Lonchura striata: one gene and its partners. The protein of the gene in region 2 interacts with the protein of the main gene of each other region in a pairwise test. Links are inferred from orthologs where the notes say so. Each region holds a gene or a part of one and is shown on either strand. Other genes may lie near its edges.

Evidence for each region.
Region 1: the proteins of RANBP9 (region 2) and OPRM1 interact in binary tests that used the Homo sapiens proteins (3 or more experiments, as listed by UniProt). The link is inferred for Lonchura striata from reciprocal best matches to the Homo sapiens genes RANBP9 and OPRM1.
Region 3: the proteins of RANBP9 (region 2) and MKLN1 interact in a two-hybrid assay, tested with the Homo sapiens proteins (2 studies listed by BioGRID). The link is inferred for Lonchura striata from reciprocal best matches to the Homo sapiens genes RANBP9 and MKLN1.

What each region holds. Positions count from the first base shown.
Region 1 is NC_134605.1:55,700,965-55,708,265, reverse strand, and holds the start of OPRM1 (mu-type opioid receptor), read left to right. Parts: upstream 1-4,262; coding exon 4,263-4,582; intron 4,583-4,932; exon of another isoform or gene 4,933-4,968; intron 4,969-7,301. UniProt on the Homo sapiens protein: Receptor for endogenous opioids such as beta-endorphin and endomorphin. Receptor for natural and synthetic opioids including morphine, heroin, DAMGO, fentanyl, etorphine, buprenorphin and methadone.
Region 2 is NC_134603.1:89,018,958-89,026,255, reverse strand, and holds the start of RANBP9 (ran-binding protein 9), read left to right. Parts: upstream 1-4,259; coding exon 4,260-4,722; intron 4,723-7,298. UniProt on the Homo sapiens protein: May act as scaffolding protein, and as adapter protein to couple membrane receptors to intracellular signaling pathways. Acts as a mediator of cell spreading and actin cytoskeleton rearrangement.
Region 3 is NC_134607.1:69,883,687-69,890,803, reverse strand, and holds the start of MKLN1 (muskelin), read right to left. Parts: upstream 3,100-7,117; 5' UTR 3,074-3,099; coding exon 2,979-3,073; intron 1-2,978. UniProt on the Homo sapiens protein: Component of the CTLH E3 ubiquitin-protein ligase complex that selectively accepts ubiquitin from UBE2H and mediates ubiquitination and subsequent proteasomal degradation of the transcription factor HBP1.

The DNA of each region.
Region 1 (7,301 bases), on a different chromosome or scaffold from region 2:
ACTGTAGTTTAGAAGTTATATTTGTCACAGGGCAATTTATGATGGCTCAGAGTTTTCCATTTATTTCTGAATGCCTTGTGGAACCTGTGAGGCCCATAACAAATATTTTATTAGTGCATTCTGAGGATTTCCTAGAAGTATATAACTGTATTTAAATTATCTATTTGAATCTCCTTCCATCAGCAAAAGCTGTTTTATGGCCACATAAATATTTTTCCCTACATTACCATCTGTGATTGGGCAGAGTAGTCAGTCTCTGTGGACAGTATTTCTCCAACAGGAGCATCCTTTGTGTATGCCTAACGCTGCCTTTCTGGCATATTAGAGAAATCAGTATTTAGAGTGAGATTGACAGAGATTACTCTTAAATTATGTGATCTGTATCTGCACACGTGCAGGGAGAGACAGAGACAGCACTAGGTGGGGGAACCTAAATAATTCTCTGCCATGGCTACTCCAGAAGCCACCAGAGGAACCACCATCCCAAAAAAAGACCCATCTCCTCACACAGGAAGGAGCCCCAGGACACAAGGGCGGGTAGGAGAACACCAATAATGTCATCAGAGAAATGAGATCTCTCCCTAGACTGTCCCCAGGCTGTCACAGGGGAGCTTCAGCCCCATGGGCCAAGCACTATAACCAACACCACAGGGGAGTAGTTTCCTGGAGCACTTCCCAGACTGTGGGGTGTCACTGCTAGGGATATGGGACACAATATGGGATTCAGGAGAAGAGTATCTTCGGATTGCACAAAAACGTGTCACAAGATGCTTAAGGGAGGAAGAGATACAGGCAGGAAAAGGGAGGGATACAGGCCAGCCACTGGGTACACTAAGGCTGCAGCCTCAGGGCCCCTGTGTCCATGTGCAAACAGCTGGGATGCAGGGAGCAGCTACTGGGCAAACTGTCTGATCCAGATCCTCACTGGGAGAGCCTTATGGTGTACATGTACACACATATATTCCCACTAGGAGATTTTCACCCTGAACAGCCGGAGAGGGAGCAGGGTGAAGCTGTTGGTGCAATTTGTGTTTCTCTTAGTGCTATTTGTGTCTGTGCTGGTCTGTGGGGCCAGATGTGTGTATATGTTTATGTGTGGGTTCTATAGACCTGACTATTGGGAATACAAACCCAGTCTAGCTATTAGCTGGACCTAAGGGCACAGAGCTGCAGCAATCTCTCCTCTGTTGACCTACTGGATTTGGAAAGCCTAACCAATGACCAGGAATTGAACTTGCCAAATACCTAAGAGCTAGAAAATTGTAAGATTGTATGAACTGAACTGTTCCACTTACTATTGTATTAAATTACATCACACATTAACTTCCTCTAAACCCTTATGTCATTAACTACAGTGGTCATTTTTTGGAACATCTTACACTCTTCTCATTCAATATGTAGCTCCAACTCAGCAAAAGTAAAATTATTAGTTTGTCAAGGATAGTTAAGAATATAGCTAACTATCAAGGACAGCTAATAACTACAGTCCTTAACAAAATGTCATGAATCTGCTTTGTAGCCTTGCCAGATAAGGAAATTGAAGACTATCGTCCAGGTTGGAAGAGACCTTAAAGATCATCTAGTCCAACCATCAATGTGGTCCAACTGACACCCTTCAGACTTGTTATGCAAACACAAAAACTATCACTTATAGCTACATTTATTAAATTTAGAAGTGACATTTTATTTTCTACAATGGCAGAAGAACTCAGAGATTATGAAATTTAAAGTACTTATTTTCAACTAATGGATATAGTATTTGCCACTCTGCAGATTGCCCTTATCTGCAGAGTCACTGTCACAATCTAGAAAGGCAACACGGGTGATCTGTGAATAAAGAAATAATGCAAATGACTAAGACTGCTTCATTTCTATGAAGAAGGAAAAAGCTGAACTACTACCAACAAGAAGTAATTACTGGTCTTCAATTTCACAAACACCCTTTCACCAGAATCTTGGCTACACAGTACTATACTATCTGAAATTATTTGAAGAAAGGGTCTCGCACATTATTACAGCCAAAATGACCTTTACCATCTGAAAGCATTATTCTAAGCACTTATTTCACATTGCCTATGTCCTTTGAAATAAGACTTGTAATAACTTTCCAAAGAGGTGCATTCAACTATCACTCCCCTACCTTGAAAGTTTGTTTAATGAGGCCTGTCATAAACAGGCTCAACTCCCAGGGCTTTTTGCCAGCCCTCTCCTCATCCTAAGTTTTCATCTGCACCTGCCAAAAGTTTGATTTATTTAAGCATAATACTTTTTTTTGTGCAATCACTTTTCTGTGAGCAGTCATAAAGATGTGTATTATAGCTCAATTTACCTCAGCATCTGTTTTTAAGGGTTTTTTAAATGACATTTTAATGTAATTTTTAAGTCATTTTTAATGCACAAAAGGGCCTTCTGATAGTGAGGATGATACAAACCTGGCTATGACACAAGATACAGAATGGATCTCCTGGCAGCCTTGATTTTTGCTCCCCAACTTCCCCATCCCTTCCACAGCCAGACACAGTTGTATTCAAAGGGCTAAATACTAATTGTGTACTTGTGGCTTACCTTAAACTCTTCTGATGGCTTTGGTGCAACAAAGGGCAAGCACAGAGAGAGGCTCCCACACTCTGTGCACATACCCAGAGATTAAAGTCTCTGAGAAAAGCCCAGTTTTAAAGCCTTGTTCCTCCTGCTCTGTGTATGACTATACATGCAGGGGATAAAGAAGCAGTGTCTTTGACCACGTAAAATCTCTGAGTTCTTGCTTTCATTTGTCCATAGCTATTTCCAGAGACAAAAATATCTCCTATTCTAAAGCTCCTCCTAAATGCAATGCTAAATGGGCTCTCTCCTACTCAATGAACGATGATGAAAATACTCTCTCTGGCCATGAAGCAATACATGCTATCTACTGAAAGTGCCCATTAATAGCTTACTTGTCCTTCTCCTTCCATTTTCACTTTAGAATGAAAAAAGGAATACAAATTCTCCAGATCTATATCCCTCTCGAAGTCCAGTGATGCCCCTTTCCCATTCCCTCTTCTTCCTCCCCACAAATTATCAGATAGACATCGAAAGAGTGTGTGGTCAATTCCGCTACTGTTACCTGCCCTGAGCAGCACTGGTTCCCCCTGCTTGTGGCACAAGCACATACTTATACTAAAATGTCCAGGATCTTTCTCTTAGGCTGCAACTTGTTTCTTCTCTACTTTTGTCATTATCACTCTTGAAATAGCGGGAGGTGCTCCGCGCAGGGTGAGCAGAATAAGTGCGCATCCACAATGAGGCAGTGGGAGCAATCACTGCTACTCTGTCACCTTCCTGTTCACCAGGAGATATTTTTTCTGCCTTGCCAGGGAGCTCTTCTGATTTCATTAGTGAGACAGTAAATGAGCTAAGTCCTAATAATCAGCCATCAGGCAGTCCCGCGCCTCTGCACGCATTTGAAACAACTGAACACGAAAAGGTACCGGTGAAAACAAGCGGTGTGCGAACTAAGCACCCAGTAACATTGAGTGCACAGCTTAAGAACGGTTTTGATGTCGTTCTTATTTGTGATATCACATCCGATAACAATCACACCAACCAGGGGAGAACATCCTTGGAGCTCTGAACAGAAGGTCCTCTGAAAATCCTGAGGATCCATGAGATCCGAGTCATTTCTAAAGGACAATTCTGTTCACAACCACCCCTCCGAAAGTGTTGCCCTAAAGTTCGTCACATTTTATTACAAGGTTCTGTTATCTCTATAATCACTGAGGACATCGTTTTGCCAAGATCCCTGTCTTACTACGATAATCTCTCGCGCATCGATCTCCTCTCTGCACCGGCCTTTATCTCGCCAAGTCAGTCTCCGCCGGTTTTGTCTTTCCGGCGCTTGCCACCGATGCCCGCGGCTCTGGGGAACGAACATGTTAAGCGCCTTGCCTTCAAGTGCCACCTGCAGGGGAGGCGCACACCGCCGGCGCTGCCCCCCGCAGGTGCGCCCCGCTCGCCGCTGGGGGCGGCCGCCACCGCGTCCCGCCGGCCTGGGAGGAGCGGCGGCGGGCAGCGGGCGCGGAGGCGGCTCCCGCCGCTCCTGCGGACACGGCCCCTCCTCCCGGCCCGCCCCGCCCGCCTCACACATGTGCCCGCACCCAGCGGCGGGGCGCACCGTCGGGGCGGGCGGGTGCTGTCGCCTCGCCGACACCGCGGCAGCAGCGCGGCGCGCCGGGCGTCCCTCGGGCGTGGGGAGCGGGCGGCCGCGCTGACAGCGCTGCGCCATGGCTGTCGCCTACCTGCTGGGCAACGGGTCCGCGCCGCTCCTGGCCGGCGCCCTGGAGGTCCCGTTCGCCGCCAACGCCTCCGCCTGCCGCCCGCCCGGGCCGCCCTGCCCGGCCTGGGGCAACGCCTCGGCGGCGCTGGGCTGGAACCGCTCCGAGCCCTGCGGCGGCGGCAATGGCAGCGCCGGCGGCGGCGGGCCCTGCGCGCCCACGGGCGGCGGCCCCTCCGTGGTTACCGCCATCGCCATCATGGCCCTCTACTCCGTGGTCTGCGTCGTGGGGCTCTTCGGCAACTTCTTGGTCATGTATGTCATCGTCAGGTGAGTGCCTGCCTGCCCCGCCCCGCTGCCCACGGCCGCTGCCGTCGGGGCGGAACCCCGCCGCCCGGAGCCGGGATGCGGGACGGTGTCCCGGCGGGGATGCTGCGGTCCCCCTCCGCCGGGCAGCGCGCTGAGGGGTGCGGACGGGCGCCGGTCCCCGCGGGAAGGGGAAGGAGGCTTTTGATAAAGAGCCGGAGCGGGTGACGAGGGAAGAGAAACTTGAGGTGGAGCAGTGAGGGCCGGCCGGTCCGTCAGAAGCCGCTGCGCGTCCGAGAATGTTCTAAAGACCCTCCGACCCCAGCTGCCCACCTCTGCGAGTGGCTCTGGCCAACGGGGCCTAAATCCCGTACCTGTGCCCTAAGGAGCGAGGATTTAAAGAGACTGTGGCCACTGCCTGTGAGCGTGTACGGGTACGGGGTGGTACACGGATAGCCGGCACGCATCCACCTGTCTTTCCACCCACCTCTCCCAAATGCACGAACAAAATGTAAATGGCACTGTGGTTAAACGCTTCCTGTGGCCGTGTTTGGAGATCCTCTGCCTCATATCTAGATCTATATGTGTATATTGAAATACATTTATATATGTGTATAGACATACATGCGTATACACGTGTATAAATACGCATGCAGTGATGCGACCGCTTTCTGTAATCCCGGCGTTCCGGCTGTGCTGCGGCACTTCGCAACTTTCTCGCCCGCAAGAGAAAAAGCCCCAGTGGGGCTCTTACAAATCAGATCACGCGCGATAAATCCATTGCCCGTAAATGAGCGGAAAACGAGTGAGAGAGATGAACAGAGGCTCCCTTGCCGGCCTGGCCGCGGAGCCGGCAGGTGGCATCCGTGGGGGAACACTGCCACCTCCCGGGAGCGACGGGCCGGGGGCGCGACAGGACGGGCCCGACTGAGCTCCTCTCCCTTCGCGGCTGCTCGTCGTTTCCAAACCAAGCATCCCTTGAGCCCTGGAGAGCTCAGCGGGCGCTTTTAAGGGAGGAGATAGGGGTAGCCCAGGGGCGCTCTCCGTTCCTATGGAGGCAGCCCCAGCACTTCCATTTCTCCTCCTCGTCCGGAGCGTCCGTTCTGCCTTTAAGCTCTGCGTTCCCCGAGAAGTCGGGCCCGCAGGAACCGGGGCTGTCTCTTGGCATCCCTGGTGCACCAGCGGCAGCGGGCGGCTTTGTGGCGTGTGTGTGCAGCGCAAGCTGTGCCAGCTGTAGAAAGCTGGGGCTGAGGGTCGCGGTCACGGTGGGGTATTGCAGCAGCATGGAGGATGCGGCACGTGTTAGGGATGTCACTGCACAGCCTGTGCATCTGGTAGACCCAGTGGGAACACAAGTGATATCCATCAGTGGTTCAGTCTAGAGCAGTTCAGAAGCCTTGTAGGTTTAACTATGCTTTAAAGGCTACATACACAGAGCTGGGGAGATTCTCTTCTGTCTTGTGGTTTTGGTCAGTCTGAAACTCAAGCTGTCTGTGTGAGGATACATCTGCAGAAAGGCTTCTGAGTGGGGGCATGACTGCAATCACTGTAGCAGTGTTGAATGCATTCCTCTGGGAGGAAAAGCAGATGCACAGTGTAACAGAGACAGGATAGCTGTCAGCAGAGAAATATGCTCCACCTTGCCCCTGGAATTATGTATTTATTATCCTGGGCATAACCCTTACTAGGTTCATATTTCTTACAGTAATTAATTGAATTACACTTGCACCACAAAGCCAAATCTAATGAGGTACTTGTATTTAGATTCCTATCTAAAGAAAGCCTTTTTCTCTGAGATGACAGCTTACAAACAAAAGCCAGAAGCAATAGCAGAAAGCAAAAATATATTTTCATTTTACAGAGGAAAACAAAAATTAAGTGGCTTGTCCAAACCATCAGGATTGTTATGGCAAACCCCACATCTCCTTTGCAAGAACAGCTTTTGGTGTGACAGAATTTGTTCCCAATTAACACCACACAGCTGTTTAGCAGTTAGGATGACAAGGAATTTACATGCTAATGGCTGAATAGGATCTGTGGCTCAAGCAACATAAAAATACATTCTCTTTCTGTGTTTCTCTGCACCTGTCGTGTATCTGGTCAGCAATACAGGACTTAGTGATTGCATTTCCTGCTGCAAGCTATACTAGCTTGAAAGTGTTTCAAATTAGAATATGAGCCTATGAAATGGTGACCCTATATGTCCACATTCGTGCCTCCTTTCATCCAACTACATGTAAGAGGCCAAAGTTTCACTGGATTGAATTTGTCACCATATAGAACTCCCCTTCATTTGCCTTTCCCATGCCTGCTCAGGAAGGACAAAACATTGATCTTCAAATTAATTGCGAGGGAAATTGAGGCTACTAAAAATTAACATTTTTGAATAATATTGGTATCTAGTTTGTCTTGAAAATACTAGGAGTTGGGAGGTAGGTGCTTAGATGTTTGAAACTGTCCTACTCACCTTTCACCCCAGTGAAAGCAACAGTGACTTCAGATCAAGTGTGCTGCATGCTAACATCTCATGCTTGGTTTCTTTGGAAATAGTTTTAAAATAATTATATCATTCTTATAAATATTATTACTCTTAAAAATTTTCCACATGAGGCAAATCCAGGGGTTTGGAGCCAGAGCTGTGCAAGTGCTGGCCTGAAATGGAACTATCATTATCACTCGACAATGTCACCCTGCTATCTCTGCTGGGGCAAACAGAGGTCAGAAAGCAGATATGTCCAAGGAG
Region 2 (7,298 bases):
ACATCAGGCTGTGCACAAAGCTCTGTTGTGAGAATATGTGTTTGTGCCATCAGGACAGTTTTATTCTTACTGGTGCTGCCTGAAGGGTGTCAGCCAGAGTTGCTCTTCCCTCTCCTCTGGCTCTGGATTCCCTGAGGAGAGCAATGGGTGTACTGACAGCTGATGCCCACGAAGCACATCTATCTGGAGGATATGACTCCTGGACTGAGGGACTGATCACCTGCACTCACTTTAAAACACATGTTCCACACGTTGACTCCCTGCTGATAGGCTCAACGAGAGGCCAAACAAATACCCTCAGTGCCTGGAATGCTTGGATCGCATTTTCTTTGGTAGAAATTTTCTTTGGTCCCTTAAAGTAAACATAAATGGAAACCAAGCATATAGAAGAGAATGTTTGCATTTGAATGTCAAAATTAGGCCTAAGAAAACGGGGGCATGGCTTTCTGCAAAGCTAAATAATCTTTAGCTGATCCATCTACTGAAATTCTTTGAAAGCATCAAAAAAAGAAACTACCCCCAAAAAACAAAGCGATTTTGGTGGACTAGTCAATGTTTTACAGTGTTTCAAAAGGCCTTTGATTAAATCTCTAAGCAAGAGGACTCAAGCAGCTAAATAATCACTGGGCAAAAAGAAAAGTACAATCATGGTTCAAAAACTGGAGATGGCAAACAAAGAGCAGAATTGAACTGCAAGTTTCTATGATGGTGGAAGGTTAATGCCAGCCAGCTTCGGGGCTCTGCGGCATGTCTCATATTGCTGCTGTATTTACCACTGATCTAGAAAGAGGGCTGTATTGTGAGATGGCAACATTTGCAGCTGTCATAATTATTTCAGCTAAGCAAGACAAGAGGGGACTGTGATGATGAGGAAGTGCTAACGAAACAGAATGCACCATGTAATGGCAAATTAAATTCAATACTGAAAATGCAAAACAACGCACATTAGGGAGGGACGTGAGTTCCACTTCGAAATCTGACAAGCTTCCATTCATTTATACTAAACTGGAAAGTAAACTGGGCATTATGTAAATATCTATCTGCTATTTCTAATCCTCACAAAGTTGTAGTCAGAAAAGTTAGCAGAACACAGGAGGAATAAATAACATACTGGTTAATGCCAATTATTAGAATTCTCTATAAAACCTCTGGCATAGTGTGCAGTCAGAAAAAGTGATGTGAATGTGTTTGTCTATGGGCATAGTTTGGAGAACAAACTTTTATAAAAAACAGTGTTCTGCTACACTTGGATTATTTATCCTTGGAAGATGGCAAAAGATGTGATAAGAGCAACCAGAGTAGCAAAGTAGCAAATAATGTCAAGAAGTAAGTGCAGAAACATCTTTCTCCTGTCTTACTGTTCAAGAAACAGAAACCTCATGGTGGCAATCTCAAATGGTGACATGAAGCATTTTGGCACAAATGCTAGAAGTGAGACACACTGAGGAAATCGATATGGCAGAAATTTTATTGATAATCACAAAAGACTTAAGACACATCTACACTTATGAACATAACAAATGTATCTCCCAATGTCTATAGTTGGCCAAATACTTACATTTTTAATGAAAATGTAAACAACCAAGCTTCATGGTTTACAACAACATCTAGATATTAGAAAGCAAATTTATATATAGTGGGAGCCTACAGTGCCAGGGTAACTGACCCTCGGGCATGGTCCAGCTTATGTTTCAACATCTATCCTAGGCACTTCTACACTTGTACAGTTTGCAGCTCCTCCTGATAGGGTATTTTTAGATAACTGCATTTTGTCCAGCCATAAATGCTATTAGACATCACCAAGCAGTTGCATGTGACAGGATATTTTGGTAACTATAGGTGAGAAATGTTTAGCTTCATACAAGCCTTTGTTAGTGTCACACCTCCATTACCTCACATGCCATTTCACACAGATGAAGCATAATTAACCTCCTCTGTTTCCTGCTTCTGTGCCTATACTCCAATATGCTGGCAACTGGAAAAGGGTTTGTGAAGTGATCAATATTTCAGGTTCATAGAATCACAAAATTGTTAGGGTTGGAAGAGATCATCCGGTCCAACTTTGTTGCCAAGGCAGGGTCACCTAGAGCAGGTGACACAGGAACACATCCAGGTGTGTTTGGAATGTCTCCAGAGAGGGAGACTCCACAGCTTCCCCAGGCAGTCTGTTCAGTGCTCTGCCATCCTCAGTTTAAACTTCTTCCTCATGTTCAGGTGAAACTTCTGTTTTAATTTACAGCCACTGCTCCTCATCCTGTTGCTGTGCACCATTGAAAAGAATCTGGCACCATGTTCTTGACACCCACCTTTGAGATATTTATATGCATTAATGAGATGCCTTCTCAGTCTTCTATTCTCCAGGCTAAACAGGCCCAGCTCCCTCAGCTTCTCTTCATAAGAGAGATGTTGTTCCACACCCCTCATCATCTTTGTGGTCTCTGCTGAACCCTCTCCAGAAGATCCTTGTTTTGCTTCTACTGAGGAGCCCAGAACTGGACACAGGTTCTAGACTTGCCAGTGACATTACTTTCCTTTTCTAATGTTTTCCAAGGTAAGCTTGCCAATCTGTAAACCACTTCTCTCTCACTGCTGCCATGTGAATATATTAGTGTGGGCAACCACTGAATAACCAACAACACTAAGCACAAACAAAACCATCCAGCAACATACAAACCAAAGGGAAACAGGCCCCAAACAAAACCCCCTAGAAACACTGCGCTGCTCCTCCTGTCCCCCTGAGCTGAGGCATTCCCAAACTTTCTCACCTCTGGGAAATGCTCTTAGTGGCGTTTCCCCATACCAACTGTAGTGCTGAACACAAGGTGTGGGCAGCAGACCCGCGTTGTGCCTGTCAGGAGACGCAGCCTCCCCGGCGGCACACACCGGCCTGTCTCCAGCTGTTCCCCAGCCGCCATCCCTAGTCAACCCCAATGGAGGCAGAGCAATGCCTCCTTCTCCTTCTTCTCCAGCTCAATGTCATGACCCACAACAGAAGGCAGCATAACTGTATAATTTCACCAGGAGGGGACAATCCCCGTTGGACTCACTCCAGTTACTCAATCCTTTTGCATCGGTCATTAATGCACTGAGGGTTAATGCCTCTCTCCCCATTACCCCTCTGAGCGTCAGCTTGACTTTGTCCCAGAGAAAACCTTTCAACACGTCCGCGTTACACCAGAAATCTTTTCAACAGGTCTGATGTGCCCAGGTCAACACCGAGAGGAGAATTATCATTACAGTCTCACGACTGTAATGCCAGTGACAGGACTCGAGGAAACAGCGTGAAGCTGTGTCAGGGGAGGTTTAGGGTAGAGATCAGGAAAACATTCTTCACCCAGAGGGAGGTTGAGCCCTGGAACAGGCTCCCCACGGATGAGGTCACAGCACCAAGCCTAGCAGAGTTCAGGACACATTTGGACAAAGCTCTCCAGTGGTATATTCTGATTCCATGATCATTTCATAACTAGGGGACAGGCACCACTGGGCTGGCCTTCGGCAGCAACACCAGTAATCCCCTGAGGGTCAGTGTCCCTTTTCCCACTACCCTCGGGGGGTCGCTCAGACTTCCACCTTCCCGGACCCGTGGCGAGAGCAAAGCTCGCCACGGGTCCGGGTCACGCCAGGGAGCCCCCAACAGCTCCGGACGCGCGGGTGCCTGCAGCAGCAGACCCAAGGGGCCCGGCCGTGCCCCCGGTCGGTGCCCGCAGTCCCACCCCCGGCCATCGCCCCGTCGCTCTCCCGCCCCGCCCTCCGCGCCTCGCGCCCGCCGAGGGGCGGAGGCCCCGCCCCGCCGCGAGCGAGCGGAGGGCGCGGGGCGGGGCCGCGGCTCAGCAGACGCGGGGGCGCGCGGCGGCGGGAGCGCGCTGGCGGCCGGACGGAGCGTGTGCGCGCCGGGCGCGCCCCCGACCGGAGGAGGGGCCGGGGGCCGAGCCAGCCCCGCCGCCGCGGCGCCCGCTCCCCGCCCGCCTCCCGCTTCCGCCCGGCGCCGCCGCCGCCGCTCCGCCCGCCTCGCCCCCGGCCCCGCCGCGCCCCGCGACGCCCCTCGCTCCCATCGGGCGCCTCCGCCGGCCGCCGTCACCGCCAATCCTCCCCCACCCCGCGCCCCCGTGTTCTTCTGAGACGCTCCGGTTGTGGGGGTGACCCGCGCTCCGCACGGCCCCGGGCCTGCCCGTCGCTCCGCCCCCGGGCCCGTCCGGTGACAGTCGCGACCGCCGCGGGAGGTGGCGGTGGAGGAGCAGGAGGAGGAGGCCGGAGCCGGGATGTCCGGGCAACAGCAGCAGCAACAACAGCCGTCGTCGCCGCAGCTTTCCTTGGCGGCCGCCGTTCCCCCGCCGGCGCCGGGGATCCCCTCCGCCGCCGCAAGCCCCGGCCCCGCTCCGGCCGCCGCGCTCCTGCTCCACCCGCCGCCGCCGCCTCCGGCCACCGCGGCGCCGCCGCCGCCCGCCGCCGCCACGGCCGGCAGCGGCGGGCCCGCGGCCGCGGGGGGCGGCGGGGCCGGCGCCGCGCTGGGCCTGCCGGCGGGGAGCGGCACCGGCGCCCCGGCGCCCTTCCCGCACGGAGACCCGGCCCTGAACGAGCAGGAGAAGGAGCTGAAGCGGCGGCTGAAGAGGCTGTACCCGGCCGTGGACGAGCAGGAGACGCCGCTGCCCCGCTCCTGGAGCCCGAAGGACAAATTCAGTTACATCGGCCTCTCGCAGAACAACCTGCGGGTGCACTACAAAGGTGAGGAGGGGCGGCCCGGGCCGCCGCGACACCCCCTGTCCCCCCCGGGGCCGGGGGCTGCCCGACCCCTCCGTCGAGCGGTGGCCACAGGAGTAACAATAACAGGAAATAACACACGCTCCTCTCCCTCCTTCTTCCCTGTTTTCCGATCGCCTAAATTCCCCCCCGCAGCGTGGAGATAAGGGGCTTGTTTTCCCTTATTTCAGGTTTATTTTTCTCTCTTTTCCCCTCCCCCCCGCCCCCCCCCCCTTCTTTCTGTCGCCGTGCGGGGAAAGGGGGGGACACAAGGGGCCGCCCCCGCCTCCTTGTGCTTCTGGAGTGGGCATTATGTAAACTCCGAGACTTCCTCCGTGGATTCAGGTATCGCCGGAACGTTTGGGTCGGAGGCAGGAGAATAAAGGACGCTCGGCATGACGTGTCCTGTTTATGGTAATGAGCGAGAAAAAGAAGTAGCTGCTTTTTTTTTTCACCTCTCGAGAAGAGCAAGGGTTAAATGCAGTTAAGAGCAGCAAACGTTAAGCTATTGAACACGGAAATGACGGGAGGGGAAAGCACTGAGAAAAACACGGTTTATTTTTAATCTGTAAAAAAAAAATTACTTTAAAGTCACTGGTAATAGTCTTGCCTAACTATTGCACAGAGTGATCTGAGGGAAGGAACGACAATAGGACTTATATTAATGAAGGTGACTGAAACTTTCTTCCTAGACGTTTCACAGTTAAAGTTACAAATTTTCAAATAAAATGTAAAAACCAGTATGCTTTTGTATTAAAAAATAACATCAGCGAGAATCATTAGAAGAAAAACTTGTGTTGATTGTTATGAAATGTCATAAAACCTGGAAACATAAGCCTACACTCTGACCTGAAAAAACACAGTCACATCTGGTGTTCTAGGCCTAAAGTCCTGAAGTAGAAGTGTTGTGGATTCAAAGCCACTTTTGAGTTGGCTGTGAAGAACTGGATCTTTTGTCAGTCTGTAGTCAAATGAACGTAGTGGGAGGGGAAAAAAACAGCCATGCAATTACTCTTTCTCAGAGTTTGCAGTGGAGAAATTCAAGGGAAATCTTGATAAATATGTTACTGTTTAATCGGAGGAGGAAAACGGCAACACAAACACATGGCAGGATTTGGCTGCCATGAAAGGATTAAATGTACTCTCAGACTTTTTTTTAATAGAGAGGTTTTATTATTACACGCAAAATACTCTGTTAAAAATGCTAAGTTTAATGCACCGTACAAAGGTAATAAAGGAGCTGGATGACTACAAAGCAGGTTTCTAGGAGGCACCGAGTGATTTAAGGATGTGTAATTTAATACTCTGAATTTCCTGGCTTTTGTTCAGTGTTTTATGACCTTGTATTTTTAGAAACATTTTGTATTTTCTGGTGCTTAGTGGCAGTGGGTTGTTTGGTTTTGGTGTTTTTTTCTTCTAAGATGATCATAGCTTAGTGGCTATCAACTTCTGCTGGTTTGTTTTGCTTTGGTCAATTTTTTTTCTCATCAGCTAGAATTTAGAGGTCAAACCTCTCTGATCTCTGTGTTATTTCAGAAGTATATTTTCAAGCTTTCCTTGTGCTGTCCCTGTTTTTCCTCACTTAACTCCTTTGCCATGGTGTTAAGGGAAATCATTACCTCAAAGAAGTTACGGAAGTCATGAAACACAGTTAGTAGGTTGTAACAATGAAGTACCTTTACTCTAGCTCTTAAGTTATAGTAAGTGCTGAAGTTTGAAGAGTTTCCTAGGTTAGCTGAAAGGACTCTGAAAAGGAGGTGCCAATATAGCATGTCTGTACTTTTCTTTTTCCTAAGTGCATATGGAAGTAAATGACTTCTTAAGTGGCCCATCTTTTCTACTGGATAATTTAATGAAGGTGGCTGTTAGGGCAACTCCATGTTTATGTTACCAGCTTGGCGCTTGGAACTGCTAACTGGGCTAAGAAGTGAATGGTATCTGAGTATTTCTACCTGAGAACCAGGGGGCAAACATGCTAAACATCTCCTGCCTTTTCTCCCTCCTGGATCCTTCAGCCCTAAGAATACAATAAAAGGGGAGAAAATGAGGAGATTCAGTGAAGAGAGTAAGGGAAGATGGCAAGTAAGAATGTGCTTAGGACTGTGAAATAGTGTTTCTACAAATTTGTTTTCAAAAGAAAGTGCTCATTGCATCTTCTTTTGTAATTCTGGTGCTTTCAGTGCTTCTGAAATTACCTAAGTATTAGTGGAAGAACATCGGATGTTTTTTTTGAAAGAAAATATGAATTGACCAGAGCTAAAGAACTGTTGTATTCTTGATGAAAATATTCAAGGAAAAGCCAGTAACCTAAAGCAATTCTTACTATTTTCTACTACTGTAGTATAGGTGCCCTGTACGCTTAAATTTTCTCTTCTGCCTCTGTAGATTTCTAGCTATAGATCTGTTTTTCTGGAGCACTTTCCTTCTGTTCTGTGACTGATTAGAGGCAGAAAGTGTTAACAGTAGTGCTTTGCCTTCACCTTGGGTGTGCTTGGGCTACTGAAAAAATTAGTGGAGAGGAACAATCAGCGCAAAAGCATTAAAAGTATAGTTACCTTCAT
Region 3 (7,117 bases), on a different chromosome or scaffold from region 2:
AATTTTCTCTTGGATCAATTCTCTTCCCAAAAGCACAACTTCCCCTACAACACAGACCGAGCCAGCCACTATTACCAGATCAATTCTTTGATTTCTACCCAAAGTTTTTAAAATAAATAACCAAGTCAGTCTTCTTGCAGGTACAAACCAATAGACAACTCCAGTGATTTGAAAAAGAGGAGAACTATTTATTTTCATGAAGACAATCCTCACTTAATGTCTGGAAAGGTCCTTGCAAACACGCAGGTAGCTGCAGCCAGAAACTGGATGCAGCACTAACTAATCCTCCAGTACCACCACCAAATACAATAGGAAAGACACTGGCATTCAGCAGAGGAAGCTTCTGTGTCACTGAAAGAAAATAAGTGCTTTTCAATAGACTACTGATCCTCAACTAGAGCATGACCAGAAAGGCCTTTGAAAAACACTTTTCGTTTTGCACTGTTTAGGCTTTTTTAATTAAAAGAGAGGTTATCAGATGATTTCAGTGTTCTGAAAAGTTTCAATGGCAGTACAGCATCACATAAGCAGGTGAGATGTCACTACACTTCTAATTTCTTCCCTGGTCAACAGTGATGAAAGTTTTACATTCCAGAATTTTGTTTTACATTTAAAACCATAAAACTACTTAAGGCATGTGTTTAAATCATGCTTAACTCCTCTGCTGCTCCTCCCCAAGCACTTTGCCTGCAATACCGCAACTCCCAACAATCAATAATATTTAATAATTTGTATATTCACTCCTACATACATGAGGGCAGAGCCCTGTTTCTCCTTAAAGGTTTAAGTGGTTTCTTTCTATCTATGCCAGCAAATTTATTTAAACTACAGCCTAACTAGAATTCCCAATGTCATAGAATCATGCAGGCTGGAAAACATCCTCTAAGATGAAGTTCTTCTAGACAAGTATCATTTTGTTCTACGTATTAAATACCAAGAGAACCTTTAGCTCCGTGTTCATCCCACAGGGTGCTATGGTCTTGTCCCAGCAATTTTCAACATTTCCATCCCCAAAAACCCACCCTCCCATATATTTCTTATTAAACTTTCTCTTTTTGAGAGGCTGATCTTAAATCACAGGTCAAAGCCTCTCCTTTCCAAGTCAGACTGTATTCCAGCTCTCTCGCGGGCCATGGAAATAAAAAGTTAGCAAGCAAAACCCAAAACTTCCATAGCAAGACAACACATAAGGACCAGAATCCCTCAGACCAAGGTCAGCACACCAGAGGACAAGCCCATTGCTGGGATTACAGTGCTTAAAAGCAGATAAAGTTGTTTTCACTGATGACAAACTCTTTTAAATAACATCTTAAAAACAGCCAAATGCAAGGTCACACATTTGTAAAATACCATCCCAGCTACAGGAATGGGAATTTGTATCAGGGAAGGCATTAAGGACTTTGGGCAGCACTGCAGATGCCACGTGAAATTTCCTGACACGAGTCAGTAGCAAAAGGGACTAATGGAAGACTTGGAAAGAAATATCAAGGACAAAGACAATACTCTGTGTTTCTATCACATCACTGAGATCAATAATGGACTGTCACCCCTCTCCTCAGGGACCAACACTTTAACAAGATTTTAAAAGCCAGAAATGCCAGTAGAAATAACTACAAGACCATCAGAGACCTGAAAGAGACACCCTAAGGGCAAGCTGTTTTAACAGGAAAGGTAAAGGGATGGCTTAATTACCACCAAAGGTCACCAATTAGAAAATAAACCAGTTCTTTTTCACATCTAACACAGAAAATATACAGAAAAACAAAACAATTCCGAGTTCAGTTAAAAACCTGGTTTTAGAGGTTTGCTTCATTTTGGAAAGTGGAGATAATTGAGGATATTAATAATTAACAACTAAGGCAACTCTGTCACTTGTTGATAGCGGGTGAATTCAGGACACATCAATCAGAGGTCAGCAAATGCAGCACAATCGATGATCGGATGAGTCTCGACAGCCCATGATGAGCTCGTTGTGCTGTGACCCCAGCAGCTCTCCTGAATTCCAGCACCAAGGATGGCTTATCCAAAAGCTGCACCAAAACCACCACACCTAAACCACGCTGTGGCCACTCCAAACTTGACTGTCAGCGGGCTGCAGCTGGATGCCATATGGCCAACAGAGGATGGGATCACTTGGCACGGCAGCACAAAGCGATGGCTGTAACAGCTCCTGCCAACCCCCAAATTCCTAGAGGCAAGCGATTAGGGCAGCAAGTGACCCCTTTCCCCTAAAGCCACACAAAGCAGAAGACACAGCCCAGCATTCCAGAGGTCGGGGCAGGACAGGACGCCCAGCTGCCAAAAAACACAGAGTCCACAAGCACCTGACAGAGGCAGGGCAGGAGAGGCACTGACCCTTCTCGTTTCACACAGTAACTGAGCAGCCTCTCCCATACCGGCACCTGTTCTTCCCCCAAATCTGGGGTCAGCTTCTCCTCTTTAGCTGCAACTTTCCTTTGCTCATACCTCGTGCTAAAGGCACCCCCACACCTGTCTCTCCAGGCCCTCCCCATTTAACTCATCTCCCCAAACCTGCAAGCCCAAACCCTCTGCCTCATGCAACTCCTTCGAAATCTTTCCATGAGCCACTTCGCCAAACACAGCCCCAAGTGATGGAACCCTGTCCCTGAACCTCCAGCCCTGCTGAGCACCTCCTGCCCCACTAACACCCCCAAGTCCCGCAGTACAGACCTCCGCCAAACGCAGCCCCCCAAACCCTGCTGTAGAGAACCCTCTTACACACAGCCGCCCCAAACCGTCCTGTAGAGACCCTGCTCACACACGGCCTCCCAGAATCTGCTGCACGGAGCCCTCTCACACACAGAACGCCGCTCGCACACAGCTCCGCTCCCACTCCCCCCGCCGCGGCCTCCTCAGCGCGGGGCCCGCGCAGGCCGCACACAGGCCCAGCCACCCCGGCCACCCCCAGACCCGAGGCCGGAGCGCGTTCCAGGCGCGGTGCCGAGCCCGGCACTCACTCGGGCAGGTAGGTGGAGGAGAAGCTGCTCCAGCGGTGCAGGCTGTAGGCCAACACGCGACTCTCCGCGCCCGCCGGACCCGCCGCCGCCGCCATCTTGTTGTCAGCAGCGGCCCCGGCAGCGACCGCGGGGGGCGGGGCCGCGCTCTTAAAGGGGCCGCGCTCTTAAAGGGGCCGCGCTCTTAAAGGGGCCGCGCCGGCGAGGGGGGGATGGACGCTCTGAGGGACTCGAGGGGCTGCTCCGTGGGGCTGAAGGGATCCGACGCTGCCCCTTGGGACTGAGGTGCCCTGAGGCGTTCGGGGGTGTCCCGTGGGGCTTAGATGGGCTGTGGGTCTCAGGGGGTACCTTGAGGGGCTTAGAGGATGCCCTATGGAGCTGAGGGACCCAGAGGGGCTGTGGGTCTCAGGGGGTACCTTGAGGGGCTTAGAGGATGCCCCATGGAGCTGAGGGACCCAGAGGGGCTGTGGGTCTCAGGGGATGCCTTGAGGGACTTGGAGGATGCCCCATGGAGCTGAGGGACCCAGAGGGGCTGTGGGTCTCAGGGGATGCCTTGAGGGACTTGGAGGATGCCCCATGGAGCTGAGGGACCCAGAGGGGCTGTGGGTCTCAGGGGGTACCTTGAGGGGCTTAGAGGATGCCCCATGGAGCTGAGGTGACCTGAGGGGAACAGAGGGGCTGAGGAGATGCCTTTAGGGGCTCAGAGGATGCCCTATGGATCTGAGGTGGCCTGAGGGGCTCAGAGGGGCTGTGGATCTGAGGGGATACCACATGGAGCTGAGGAGCCCAGAGGGGCTGTGGGTTTGAGGGGATCAGAGGATGGCCATGGATCTGAATAGGGCCTGAGGGGAACAGAGGGGCTGTGGGTCTCAGGGGATGCCCAGAGGGGCTCAGAGGATTCCCATGGAGCTGAGATGGCCTGAGGGGCTCAGAGGAGCTGTGGGTCTCAGGGGATGCCCAGAGGGGCTCAAGGGATGTCTCAAGAGTTTGAGGTGAGCTGAGAAGCTTGGGTCGTGCACTGTGGGGCTGAGGGGCTCAGGGGGTGCAGTGGCAAGCACATTTCTCTCCCTCTCAGGATTTTTCATAGAGGTGCACAGAGAGAAATGAAAGAGAAAACAGTTCCTATTTCTGCTCCTTGTTTTTCCCATGTGGAATGTGTTTGGAGAATTGTTTCCCTGGGGTGATTGCTGGGTTGGATTCTGGTGAGGATTTTTTGAGCTGATGGCCAATCCAACCCACCTGGGGCTGGACTCTCAGAGAGGGTCACGAGTTGAGTTAAAGAAAATAGTATGTAGTTTTACTATCTTCCTTTTTATATAGTATATTAATGTATTTCACCATAGTTATAATAAAGAAAACATTCAGCCTTCTGAATTGAGTCAGACATTGTCATTTCTTCCCGTTGGGTTTGCCTGCATTTACAATAGGGTGCCCCATGGGGCTGGAGAAGGATGCCCTGAGGGGGCTCAAGGGGGCTGAGGAGTGTTAATTAGCAAAGGAGATTCTCCTTCCCTGGCCCACAAGGGTAGGTGGTTGGGAAAGGGATCAAGAGAAACCCAGCGATGTTTGATCATACACCAGCTCCTGGAATTATAAAATTGTGAAGGTTGGAAAAGACTTTTAAGACCATTGAGTCCAACCAGCAACGCAGCACTCACAGGACCAGCACATAAGTTGGCATTCCTTGATGACCTTTTCTCTGTCTGAGGTTGTTGTAGGGTTTTTCCTGGAGCAGGGAGATGTTTTCACCCAGAGCTCCCACCAAAGCAAGGGGGAAATTTAGGACACCCCTGGGGGAGTTCTGGACTACTTGAGAAAGAAGGGGAGATATTTCAAGACCACAGGGGGGGGGGGAAAAAAAAGCCAAACCAATAAACCACTGTCTGTTGGAAATGACAGATTGGAGAGATATTATGAGGCAGGACAGCAGGATGCCTGGCTAGATTAAATTAGCACAAGGATTCTTTTATTTTTTTTCCCCCTTTATTTTAGGAAAGTGAGTGAGAATGTGGCAGCAAAATCTGCCTGCGGATGAAAAAGTCGCTCAGCAGCCTTGAAGGCTGAACATCAACTGGGTGTTTCAAAAATGAGGGGGAGCAGAAAGCACTTCATCTGAAGACCCCTTCCCAGAGGGGGTTTGCTGTGTTTCCACTGGTATCAAAGCCATGTGACTCGACAACAACACAACAAAATCCATGGATGATGAGGTACAAACATCCACATCTCCTTCTGCTGCTTCACTAACAAGGCCTTTTGAAGTTTGTGGCTTTCCCGTGGCATTTCAGACTTCACTTATCCCAGCTCCAGCCTGCAGGCATCCCCCTCCCAAAATTACCACAGGAGTAATAAAACAAATACTTTGCTGATAATATACTCCCAAGCCTAGAGGAAGAGACGTCACCTCAGTGTTCAGAGCCTTGCTAACAACCAGCCCAAGGGGAGCAATGCCATGTGGAACCTGTGACCTCTGAATATGAAATTTAGTGGGTTGAGAGTGGGGGTAACAGCCCTGCAGCAGCCTGGAGGAGGAGGAAAAGGAGGAAGAGCCAGCAGCTGGCTGCTGCACAGTGAAACCACCCCAGGATTTCTCTGCCCAATATCCTGTTACCACTTGAATCAAGACCTGGATGCCAAGCCAGCGTATTTTTAGCACATTTTGGACGTAAAGTGAAGGGAATGCTGGTGAAATACACAGTACTGACAGCCCTGGAAAATCTTTATTCATCTGCAGCACAGGCAGCAGGGAAGGCTGTGAGGAAGCAGAGCAATCCAAAGCTGCAAACCAAGGCCTCTGGTCTCTCCAGCACAGCCTGCCCAGTCCTGTGCAGTTACCACTGGCTGCTGGAGAAGAGGGTTTTTCCACACTCCGAGTGGACAGAGCACAGTGTGGAGGAGCATGATGTGCAAGGCAGTGTTGTGCTGCGGATTTGGACAGCCTGCAGCCTCCAGATGAGCTCTCTGTATCCCAAGCAGGGCAGCTGCTGGGGCCCAGCTAATGACAGGGCCATAGAAGAGGGGAGAAAATTCAGAAAACATGAGTATCTGAACCCCACTGTGCTGATCCAGGCCTGTGCTCTGCTTGCTCTGCCAATGTAACACTGGATCTGAGGAATTTGGGGAGCCCAATGCCACCAACATGCTTCATCCTGCCTCCAGCAGTGACTGAGACCCATTGCTCCAGGGAAGTACCACAAAGAGGGCACTTACACATAGAATCACAGAATTATTAAGGTTGGAAAAGACCTCTAAAATTATCAAGTCAAACCATTAACCCAGCAGTATCAAACCCATCACTAAACTATGTCCCCAAGTGCCACATCTATGTGATTTTTGAACACTTATAGGGATAGTGATTCCACCACTACCCAGAACAGCCCGTTTCAGTGCTTGACAACACTTTCAGCAAAGAAATTTTCTGTAACGTCCGATCTAAAGCTCCCCTGGGACAACTTGAGGATGTTTCCTCTCATCTCATTGCTGGGAGCTGACACCAACCCTCACCTGGCTGCACACTCCTGTCAGGGAGTTGTAGAGAGTGAGAAGTTCCCCCCTGAACCTCCTTTTCTCCAGGCTGAGCCCCCCCAGCTGCTCCTCATCAGACTTGTGCTCCAGGCCCTTCACAAGCTTCCTTGTCCTTACGAAGCAAACCTCGTGCAGAGTTTTCCTGCTTCTGCCCCCTCACTTGGGACTTCACTGAAACCTTCCAGCACGTTTTGGTGCCTCCTGGCCCAGAGCTGGCTGGGTGGATCCGTGCAGCCTGTGGCTGGCTGCTCTCTGAGGATGGGGCCGTGGAGGGGAAGTGAGAGCTTTCCTAGCAGCAGAAGGTCCCTTTGGCGTTCAGGGACCAGCCTGCCAGAGAACTCACCCTGGACGTGTGCCTTGGACAGTAGCTGGAGTTTCTGGGAAAGGCCAAGGTGACCACAAGAGATGTTCCCCACGTCTCTTTGCCAGGAGGATGCACACACAGCATCTTCATGCTTGTCATCAGCGAGCTGGAACCCCAACTGCAGGAAACTGGGTGATTTTACAATTGTTTGTCGGTCTCAAGACAAATTTCTCATCCCCCCCATCAGAAACTCTTCTCTACTGCTCGTGTGTTTCGAGTTTCCTCATGCAAAACCTCGCGTGGGCGTTTGGATATG